2 linked regions of the Yarrowia lipolytica genome follow. The protein of the gene in region 1 interacts with the protein of each later gene in a pairwise test. Links are inferred from orthologs where the notes say so. Each region holds a gene or a part of one and is shown on either strand. Other genes may lie near its edges. The genes, in order: YALI1_D21702g and YALI1_E04420g.

Region 1 (4,868 bases):
CACGTCTCTCTTCTCGGTCCATTTACTTGACTGGTAATCAGCCTCCACTATACTGCCTTACCAAATTCTAACTATGCACTTGACAAAATGTCCTGACTTGACTAAATACCAACTGTAGTCAACTAAACCAGCCTCAGATTGGCAAAAGACCCCATGTGGTGGTTGAGACGCGGGTTTTGATCCACAGCGCCCTTCAGTCGCATGATGGTATGTCACGCGACTCTCGTAAAGAGATCTGGCACGGAATAACAACGTCGTTCATCACTGGCCGGTTTAGTTGCCGTTTGTAGGTGTGAAACGGTGGTTTTTATATTTCGCAGAGGCCGGGTAACTTGAGTTTACAGTTTAATTTTATTTCACCAAGACGAGTTCCAAACCTTAAATAAGGCAAGAGATGTGATCTGACCGAAAATTGTGGATGGGTCCATGGTGGTTCGTAGGGTGTTGAAAAGAGATAACAATCGATATTAGCTGTATTTTAAGCTATGACGAGTAGTTGCAGTGTCCAATAATACTCGTAATCTGTAGAATGAAGCTGCTGAAACTTAATGTTGGAAAGTTCAGATTTTTCACCGGACTTTAAAGCCGGTTTGTTGTGCAAGATATGACTGAATGACGTGAAACGTCCAGTATGGATATCAGAGAGTGAAATCGTACTATCATCAGAATCCCCCGGTTCTAGCGGTCACGATGGTACCATTATCATTGTGATAGCATCTCGAGATGCGGTTTTATGAGGGACGTGACCCAGAATTAGATGGAGAAGAGTCTTCGACAAATATAAAGTAGATTGTTGTATTCACTAAGCAGTGATCAATCTATATATCTCACCGCCGACAACATGTCTGCATTTCTATCACATCCTGGGGTCCCCACAACCCTAACCTCCCGTTTCCCGCCCTAACCCATGAAAAAGTGTCACACCTGCATTTGAAGCAAAGATGTCGGATCACATACAAATTACAAGTTTGGACTTTGAGGATTATACAGGCCATCGCAGCTGTTGAATACAGTGAGTACGAGAAGGGGACTGGGGGGAATGACACGGAGAGTGTGGCTCAAACCAGAACAACACTAACACAGACAATTATGGTGAGTTATACACGATGGTTAATGAGGTGGTTATAGAGGGTTATGAGAGGTACTGAGAGTGAAGGGGTGAGCGAGAGATGTGGGCGATGGAGAGATGTGTGTGAGGAGCGAATTGTGAGCGACATTGGCCAGTTCTAGAATGATATTGGTGACTGGTTGGTTGGTCCGTTGAAGGGTTTGTTCTGGAGAGTGTGGAGTCATGTCACCTTGTCTGATCTCAGGACTCGGATTTTCAGGTGGTTATCGTGATACCTTGGTGTGGATTAGATGTGGATTGTTTCAGACAGACAGACAGATAGAGAGAATGACGCAGAGACCGACTCAGACAACTTCAGACAGACAGATCAACAAACTACAGATCTAACCAATTACTCAGTCCTCATACTCAAAGCGATCATCTGTGAGATTTCACCATAATCCCCGGTTGATCGGTGGGCTCTGGAGAAGAGCCAAGATAAGACACATATCCTCAGACACAGTGACAACGAGCTGGAGAGTGAACAGCTATGATACACGGTGTGATCAGGCTGGATCGTGATCTACTTCCGTGTCCATTATCACATCATGTCATCGTCTTCTCATCTGGATCAGTTGGTTTTGGGGTCCCCAGTTGATTGAGCTTTTCTCCAAGTCCCTGTTGCGCTTTCGTGCCTGCATCCTCTTGTGCAAGTCTCTTGTGCAAGTCTCAGATTGTCCGTCGCGCGCAATTCCTGATGTCTCAGAGACTCCAGATCTCACTCAGAGCCTTGCTGGTTTCATCTGCGGATTGAACCCAAGTCTATCTCTTTGTCGACTCATGTGCTATGCCCAATGTCTTTTGAAGCCTTATCTCGTTCCTAAATGTGTTCTCTCGAGCTAAGACTTCACTCTCAACACTTGTTGACCCCCAATGACGCTGTGCATTAATAGTGCGCTCGTTACTGAGCTCATAGATGATTGTTGTCCACGCTCAGAATAGAAATACAGCTTCCGTGCAATTGCTGGACGGGTTCGTGTTCTTTTGTCACGCACAACCATTCATTCACTAACCCAGATGTCATCCACCAAAGACCGGCTGGAGTTTTGGAAGGAACAGCAAATGCTCCTGTCCTCTCCCGACTCCCTTCCGTCTATCCTCAGTGCTCTTTTTCAGACTATTCCACACTACTCCGACCACGTATCGAGGGACGTGGTAGTCGACACGTGGAAACTGCTGCTAAAGGAACACCCTGCCGCCCTTCAAAAGGTTGTGCCCGTGCTCGCCAAGCAGTTTGCCATCTACAAAAAGTCCTCCACAAACAACCTCATGGTGCTGCTGGAGTGGACCAACTACTTTGTGTCCTTCTCCCTGACCAACGCCGGGTCCGAGCTCAACGACTTTGTCTTCAAGGACCTCATTTCCATGCAGGCCGAGCTCGTGGACCTGTGCTCAGCATGCAACCGGGAGCGAATGGCCAAGAGCGCTCTGAGGCAGACCCGAGCCGCGTTTGCAGCCTGCATCACAGCTAACGGAGCTCTGACCAAACTGCTGAACGTATGCCTCCCAGGCACCCCCACGTCTACGGCTCTGCTGGGCTGTCTAGCATCTGCATGCGCTGAAAATGCTCCTCAAACTTTTGAGCAGCTGGATCTTTCAGCCTACTCGCAGTTTTACGGCGCCAACGTGCTCGGCGCCAAGGTTCTGCCCTGCAAAAACGCCACCAAACAGTTTTGCACGGGATACTTTGGCAACCTGTCTCGTGACCAAAAGTCCAAGGTCGCGGCTGATATCTTTGATGCCACCAAGAAGTCGATTCTGAGGTCTCCCGAGTCTGTTCTCGAGTACGCAATTCCCCTGTTGCTAGAGAGTCTCGATAAAGACGATGAGTCAGCAAAGAAGCTGGTTGACGGCATTTCCGCTTCCCTGGTCACATGTCTCAAGTCTTCCAATCAGCTCACTCGAGATGGAGCTGTCACATGCATCGGAGTGGCCTGTGCTATCTCTCACGAGACCCTCTACTCCGAGTTGGCCAAGACTGTGTCTAAGGTGACTGTGTTGGAGCAAAAAGTGGCCTATGGAAACGCTATTGCTGGCTGTCACGTGACCGATCCTTCTCTGTCTGCCGCCCTTGCTCCTGTGGTTACCAAGGAGAAGAACGAGATTGCCCTGACTGCTCTGTCACGTGCCTTTTTGGTCCACTTTTCCCCTGATCAGGCTAAGACTCTCTCTTCTGGACTGTCTGACTCCAACGCTGGCGTCGTCAAGACCTGGGTTCTACAGCTGGTCAACTTCCCCCAACACGCTGAGCACGTGACAGGTGAGCTGGAGAAGATTCTCGCTTCTTCCACCATCGTCAAGGGTGCGATTTCTGGTCTTGGAGCTGTTTACCTGCTCACCAAGGCTGGAAAAGCTGTAAAATCTGACAAGGCTCTGGAACTGGCTCTATCTCCTCGAGTGTACACCAAACTCAGTGCAGGCGAATTTGTCACTGGTTTCAAGGCTCTGGAGTCGCTGTTCAAGGAGGTTAACCCTGACAATGCCCCCGACTTTGGTAAGACCATCTTCTTCTATGCTTATGGCGACTCCGAGGTCAAGGTGGACGTTGACTGCTCTAGATTGGTTGGTCCCGCTCTGAGGAGCAATTACTCGGATGGTCTGGCTGGGGCTGTCATTTCTGGAATTTCTGACACCCACGTCAGCGAGAGAAAGTACTCCAAGTTGCTTTACTCGCTGTTTAGTGCCGAGAACAACTGCGACAAGGCTCTTGTCGATGGGCTAGAGGTACTGTGTGGCGTCGGACTGTGGATTGAGTCCGTTCTGGGAGCATCTCGAGACCCCCGAAAGTTGTTGTTGGACAATGAGAAGCATGTCAAGTCGATTCTGTCTTCGGCTGCCTCCTCCAACCTCTATCCTACCATCGCTACAGTCTGTTTCATTGCTCCTGACGTCTTTGCTGGTGAGGTTGCCGAGCAGTTCTCTGTTTCGAACCTCTCCTGTGTCACCACTGAGGCCGTGACCATCTTCAACACTCCCGCTGACGAACTGGCTTTCGATATCAAGCGAACGGAGCGTGTGGCTCACAAAAACTCCAAGGAATACCAGGACAAGCTGTGGGAAGAAAACCTCAAGAAGGAGCTCCAAAAGAAGAAGGGTGTTGTCGAAAAGCCAAAGTACACCAAGGAGGAACAAATCAAGGTAGACGAACAGATGAAGAAGGAGGCAGAAATTAGAACGGAGGTCACCGCAGTCGCAGATCACGTGACCCGGCTCATGGGCATCATTTCCGCCCTCTCCAAGGAAGCCATGACGGTTGATAACGGCAAAGAAACGTGGTTTGGACCGGCCATGACGCTCATGCTCGAGCTCCTCAGACACCCCAACGTGGATGTGCTTTGTTCCAGTCACGTGACCAAGACTCTCACGGACATGTCTTGGATCACCAACGACAAGCTGGGTTCCATTAGACCCTTCCTGGCCGTCTGCCTGCTCAGAATGTATGGTAATCACGTGAGCGAGGACCTCCAGAAGGAGTCACGTGACTCTCTCATCACGCGGGTGCTGTACAAGATTCATTCTGTGGCCATGTCTTCTCCTCTTGACGCTATTTCTCTGATTTTCGTGCTTCCCATTGTCTTGTTTGTGCTCAAGAACCAGTCTCGTGACAAGGACGTGGCTGAGGAGCAAACGCATCTTGCCATTGAGATTGTCACTTGTCACACCTCTGCTTTTGCCGACGTGATTACTCCTCGATCTGAAATCATGAGCGCCCTCATTCAGCTCATGAAGAGCACTCCCACCAAGGCCAAGCTTGCTCGTG
Region 2 (4,777 bases), on another chromosome or scaffold:
TCATGTACGCGCCTTGGCACATCCTTGGTATGAGTAGACAGGAAAGCAGACATAAACGTACACAGCTGTGCTGCCAGTATACTTTGTCCATGACTGGCTTAGTTGATTCAGGTACAGCGAGTGTGGAAAGTGCACGCACACCCAACATACAGAAGTTTAAAGCCAGCTCATTCTTTCTCCTTATCACTACTGCGATCTGAAACACCCTCAAACCGACACACACTCGTTACAAATGACGGCAATACGGTTCCGCATTATTGCGGCCATTACATTCGTGGCCCTTCTCTTTACGCTCATGGGATTCTTCATTTTCCCCTCACCGACATTTGCGATCCCTAAGAGCAAGGACTACACAAACGAGAGCAGTAGTGGGTCCAAGGAAGGCCACACTGAACTCGACAGTACCAACCAGTCGCACGATGACGAGGCTGTAGAATTCCCCGTTAAGGCTGCTTATTACGACATTGCTAACGCCCCCAAAAGATCGACCTCGTCGCCAGACGTGTATAGAGGCACCCGAGTCAACTGCGACCCCTACGCTCTGCCTGGTTACATCGACTACGACAAGAACAACTTCAACAACACCCACTGGGTCGGATACAATGACGACTGCAAGGCCATTCACCCGCCTCCTATTCTTCAGTTGAGAGACGGCATGGATTTCCCTGACCTCAGAGACAAGTCTGTGCTGTTCATTGGTGACTCGGTCGACAGACAGAACGCCGCCTTCTCGTGCGAAATGATCGGCCAGGATGTCAAGGTGACCTATCAGAAGGACTACACAGACGAGGTCACTGATCCCGCAAAGATGTCTGGAGGTCACCCTCGATACTGCTACTCTCCCGAATACAACATGACCTTATCCACCTTTTTCTTCTTTGGTTTCGACACTGATGAAATCTGGCATGACAAGAAGAAGTCATATCTGCTTCCTGGAGGAGTTTGGGAACGAATGAAGCTGCTAAAGGATATCGTCAACTCTCGGCCTCATCACAACGACCTGGAGCTGATTGTTCTTAACGTGGGTTTCTGGGAGCTGGCTCGATACGACCGTCTGGACGGTTACGCAGGCATTACCGAATCCATCTACCTCACCGAGGAACAGGTGCGTGAGTACGTGGTTAACCTGGAAAAGTTTGTCCTGGAGGTTCAGAAGATTCTGCCCAACTCCCGTATTGTCTTTCGACAGATGCATTCTCCTCGGGCACAGCAAGGCTCCTTCTTCAACGACGGCACTTCGGACCGACACAACCGGTTCCATTCGAACAAGGTGCGACAGCTCAACTCCGCAGCCAAGCATGTAATGGACCAGATGGGCCTGGAGTTTTGGCACGTGGGCGACTTTGTGCGTGCCATCCCCGAAAACCAGTACATGTTTGATGATCTTCACCCCGGCCCTATTGGAGCCGCCATGCTCTGGGGCAACAGCATTCTTGAGTACCTTGCACGAACCCCAAGAATCGAGTGATTAACAGTACAGTAGATGTTGCATGGAAATATAATAGAATGATTTTTTTTATTTGGTCCACAGACAAGTAACTGTATAGATATGGCAATTACAGTACAGTAGCCAGTAGCTACAGTGTACAAGTAGGTACGATACAGTATGATACGACACATCCAGTGTTCCATCTATATGTAAGTATGACATGCAGTTTGGGGGCTTGGTGTAGTGTGAGGAGAAATCGAGAAGGACATGAGTGGTAGATAGGTCATGAATGTGTTAAAATATAGATATGTCCCTTGAAATTGTTTTTATGTGCCACTTGTTCTCCTTACTCCATTGCCTACACACACATCAGCATTGCTCCGTACTCACAGTCTGTATACAAATTAAGCTCCAAGGAAATTTCATCACCAGGTTAATGCAAATAAAGGCAAATAAGGACTTATACTGAACCACCAACCCAACCTCACACCTCAAAGATGCCTTCAATCGCCGCTGAGGTCACCAAGACCGCGAGAAACGTAGACACCGTGGTTGTGGACTACGCCACTGGCTACATTCGACATCTTGAGAACAACATCGGTCCCCAGCATGACCTGACAGCTGAGGCCTCTTTCATCGCCTCTCTGCTTGTTGGAGCTGGTGTTGAGAAGCCTGCTGCTCAGCAGCTCTACGACCACATGCTCAAGGAGTTTACTGTTCTTCAGAAGGAGGCCATCAATGAGGCCGGCGCTTCTGCCCAGTCCCAGATCATCGATCAGCAGGCTCTCATGTCTGCCGTTAACCACGCCTCCAACCGACAGGCCAGTGTGCTCAACAACAACATCTTTGGTGTTGCTGATCTGGATCACGTTGGCGGCCGAAAGGTCGAGTCTCGAGTTGACAAGAAGAAGCTCGAGAAGGCTGAGAAGAAGATTGCCGCTAAGATGGCTGCTCGAGCTGCCAAGGACGCTGCCCAAGTCCAGTATGAGGCCTCCAAGCTTGTCACTGAGACCCAGGACAGCAAGGACTACGACGAGTTCTTCCTCACAGTTAACCCTCTGGATCTGGGTATGGCTGGTGCCGGTAAGACCAAGGATATCAAGATCGACAACTTTGATCTGCACGTCGGTATGGGTCAGCGAATCCTGTCCGATACCTCTCTTACTTTGTCTTACGGTCGACGATACGGTCTGGTCGGTCAGAACGGTATTGGTAAGTCTACTCTTCTGCGAGCTCTTTCTCGACGAGAGCTTCCCGTCCCCAAGCACATTACTATTCTCCACGTCGAGCAGGAAATCACTGGAGACGAGACTTCTGCAATCCAGTCCGTTCTGGACGCCGATGTGTGGCGAAAGCATCTGCTCAAGGAGCAGCACACTGCCGTCACTCGAATCGCAGAGATTGAGGCCCAACGAAAGACCCTCACTGAGCAGGGTCTGGACGACAACAGTGCTGAGATCCGAGAGCTCGATGACGAGCAGGTCGACCTGGAGACCAACCTCGAGGAGGTCGAGACCAAGCTGGTCGACATCGAGTCCGATAAGGCCGAGTCTCGAGCTGCTGCCATTCTGTCAGGTCTTGGTTTCTCCCAGGCCACCCAAGGAAATCCCACAAACTCCTTCTCCGGTGGATGGAGAATGCGTCTGGCTCTTGCTCGAGCTCTGTTCTGTAAGCCTGACTTGCTGCTACTTGATGAGCCTTCCAATATGTTGGATGTTCCCTCGATCACCTACCTTGCCAACTACCTCCAGACCTACCCCTCCACTGTTCTTGTTGTTTCCCATGACCGAGCCTTCCTTAACGAAGTCGCCACCGATATCATCTACCAGCACTCCGAGCGACTCGACTACTATCGAAACGCCAACTTTGACGCCTTCTATGCCACTAAGGAGGAGCGATACAAGAATGCTATCCGAGAGTACGAGAACCAGATGGCTTACAGACAGCATCTGCAGGCCTTCATTGACAAATTCAGATACAACGCGGCCAAGTCCTCAGAAGCCCAGTCACGAATCAAGAAGCTCGAGAAGTTGCCCATTCTGGAGCTGCCCGAGGAGGATAAGGCTGTGGAGTTCCGATTTTCTGAGCCCGAAAAAATCTCGCCTCCCATTCTACAGATGCAGGGCGTCACCTTCGGTTACAACCCTGAGCGACTTTTGCTCAAGGACGTTGATCTCGATATCCAAATGGACTCCCGAATCGCTCTTGTCGGTGCTAATGGTTGCGGTAAGACTACCCTGCTGAAGCTTCTGACTGACCAGCTGAGCCCTGTTGACGGATCCATCTCTAAGCACCCTCGTCTGAGAGTTGGCTACTTCGCCCAGCACCACGTTGACGGTATGGACCTCAACCTGACTCCCACCGCTTGGCTCGCCAAGATCAACCCCGGCAAGTCCGAGGAGGAGTACCGACGACATCTCGGTTCTTTTGGTATTACTGGTTCCATCGGTCTCCAGAAGCTCGCTCTGCTTTCTGGAGGTCAGAAGTCTCGTGTTGCATTCGCCTCTCTCTGTGTTTCTTACCCCCATATCCTCATTCTTGATGAGCCTTCTAACCATCTTGATACTGCAGGTCTTGACGCTCTGGCTGACGGTCTCAAGAATTTCAAGGGAGGTATCCTCATGGTTTCACATGACGTTGACATGATCAACCGAGTCTGCAACCAGATCTGGGTCTCCGAGAAGGGAACCGTCTCAAAGTTTGACGGAACCATCAAGGACTACAAGAAGTACATTCTTTCTCACGCAAGTGAGAGTGGTGTCGTCCAGCAGCACTAAGTATTTAATCTCATAGAAACAGTGGTATGGAGCATACCTGTACGTTTTGACTGTATTAGTGTTACGGGTAGCTAATTTAGCGTGGGTGATACGATGTAGTAATTGGTTGTACAAGTAGATAAGAGTGTACAAGTACAGTATAAGAACGGGAGTGAGAATCAGGAAAATCAATTGGGAAATGGGGGGTACTTGTACAAAAAGTTGAGCACATATCTTGTGCATTCATAACTGAAGGTGTATACTGTACAACGGTGTATGTACTACTTGTAGTATGTAATTGAAGGTGGAAAATGACATTGGGAGAAGTTTCATAATAAAGAGATCTATAAAAATGTAAAGTACAAGTACTTATATTGTATAAGTAGACACAATCGACCATCATTTTCACAAAAAAAAAATACATTATGGTGGTTGGAAAAAAAAATGCCTTCGACCAGATTTGAACTGATGATCTCAGCATTACTAGTGCTGCGCCTTACCACTTGGCCACGAAGGCTGGAAAACTTTGATTTTGTTAGAACCCAGACCCATGACTAAGCAGACTGATGACTCAGAGCGCCATACGCTCTTC

What was found.
Region 2: the proteins of YALI1_D21702g (region 1) and YALI1_E04420g interact in binary tests that used the Saccharomyces cerevisiae proteins (3 or more experiments, as listed by UniProt). The link is inferred for Yarrowia lipolytica from reciprocal best matches to the Saccharomyces cerevisiae genes GCN1 and GCN20.

What each region holds. Positions count from the first base shown.
Region 1 is NC_090773.1:2,168,637-2,173,504, forward strand, and holds the start of YALI1_D21702g (uncharacterized protein), read left to right. Parts: upstream 1-1,598; coding exon 1,599-1,682; intron 1,683-2,125; coding exon 2,126-4,868. UniProt on the Saccharomyces cerevisiae protein: Ribosome collision sensor that activates a translation quality control pathway when a ribosome has stalled during translation. Directly binds to the ribosome and acts as a sentinel for colliding ribosomes.
Region 2 is NC_090774.1:439,226-444,002, reverse strand, and holds YALI1_E04420g (uncharacterized protein), read left to right. Parts: upstream 1-1,926; coding exon 1,927-4,206; downstream 4,207-4,777. Other genes in the region: YALI1_E04437g (uncharacterized protein), read left to right, coding at 233-1,468. UniProt on the Saccharomyces cerevisiae protein: Acts as a positive activator of the GCN2 protein kinase activity in response to in response to low amino acid, carbon, or purine availability.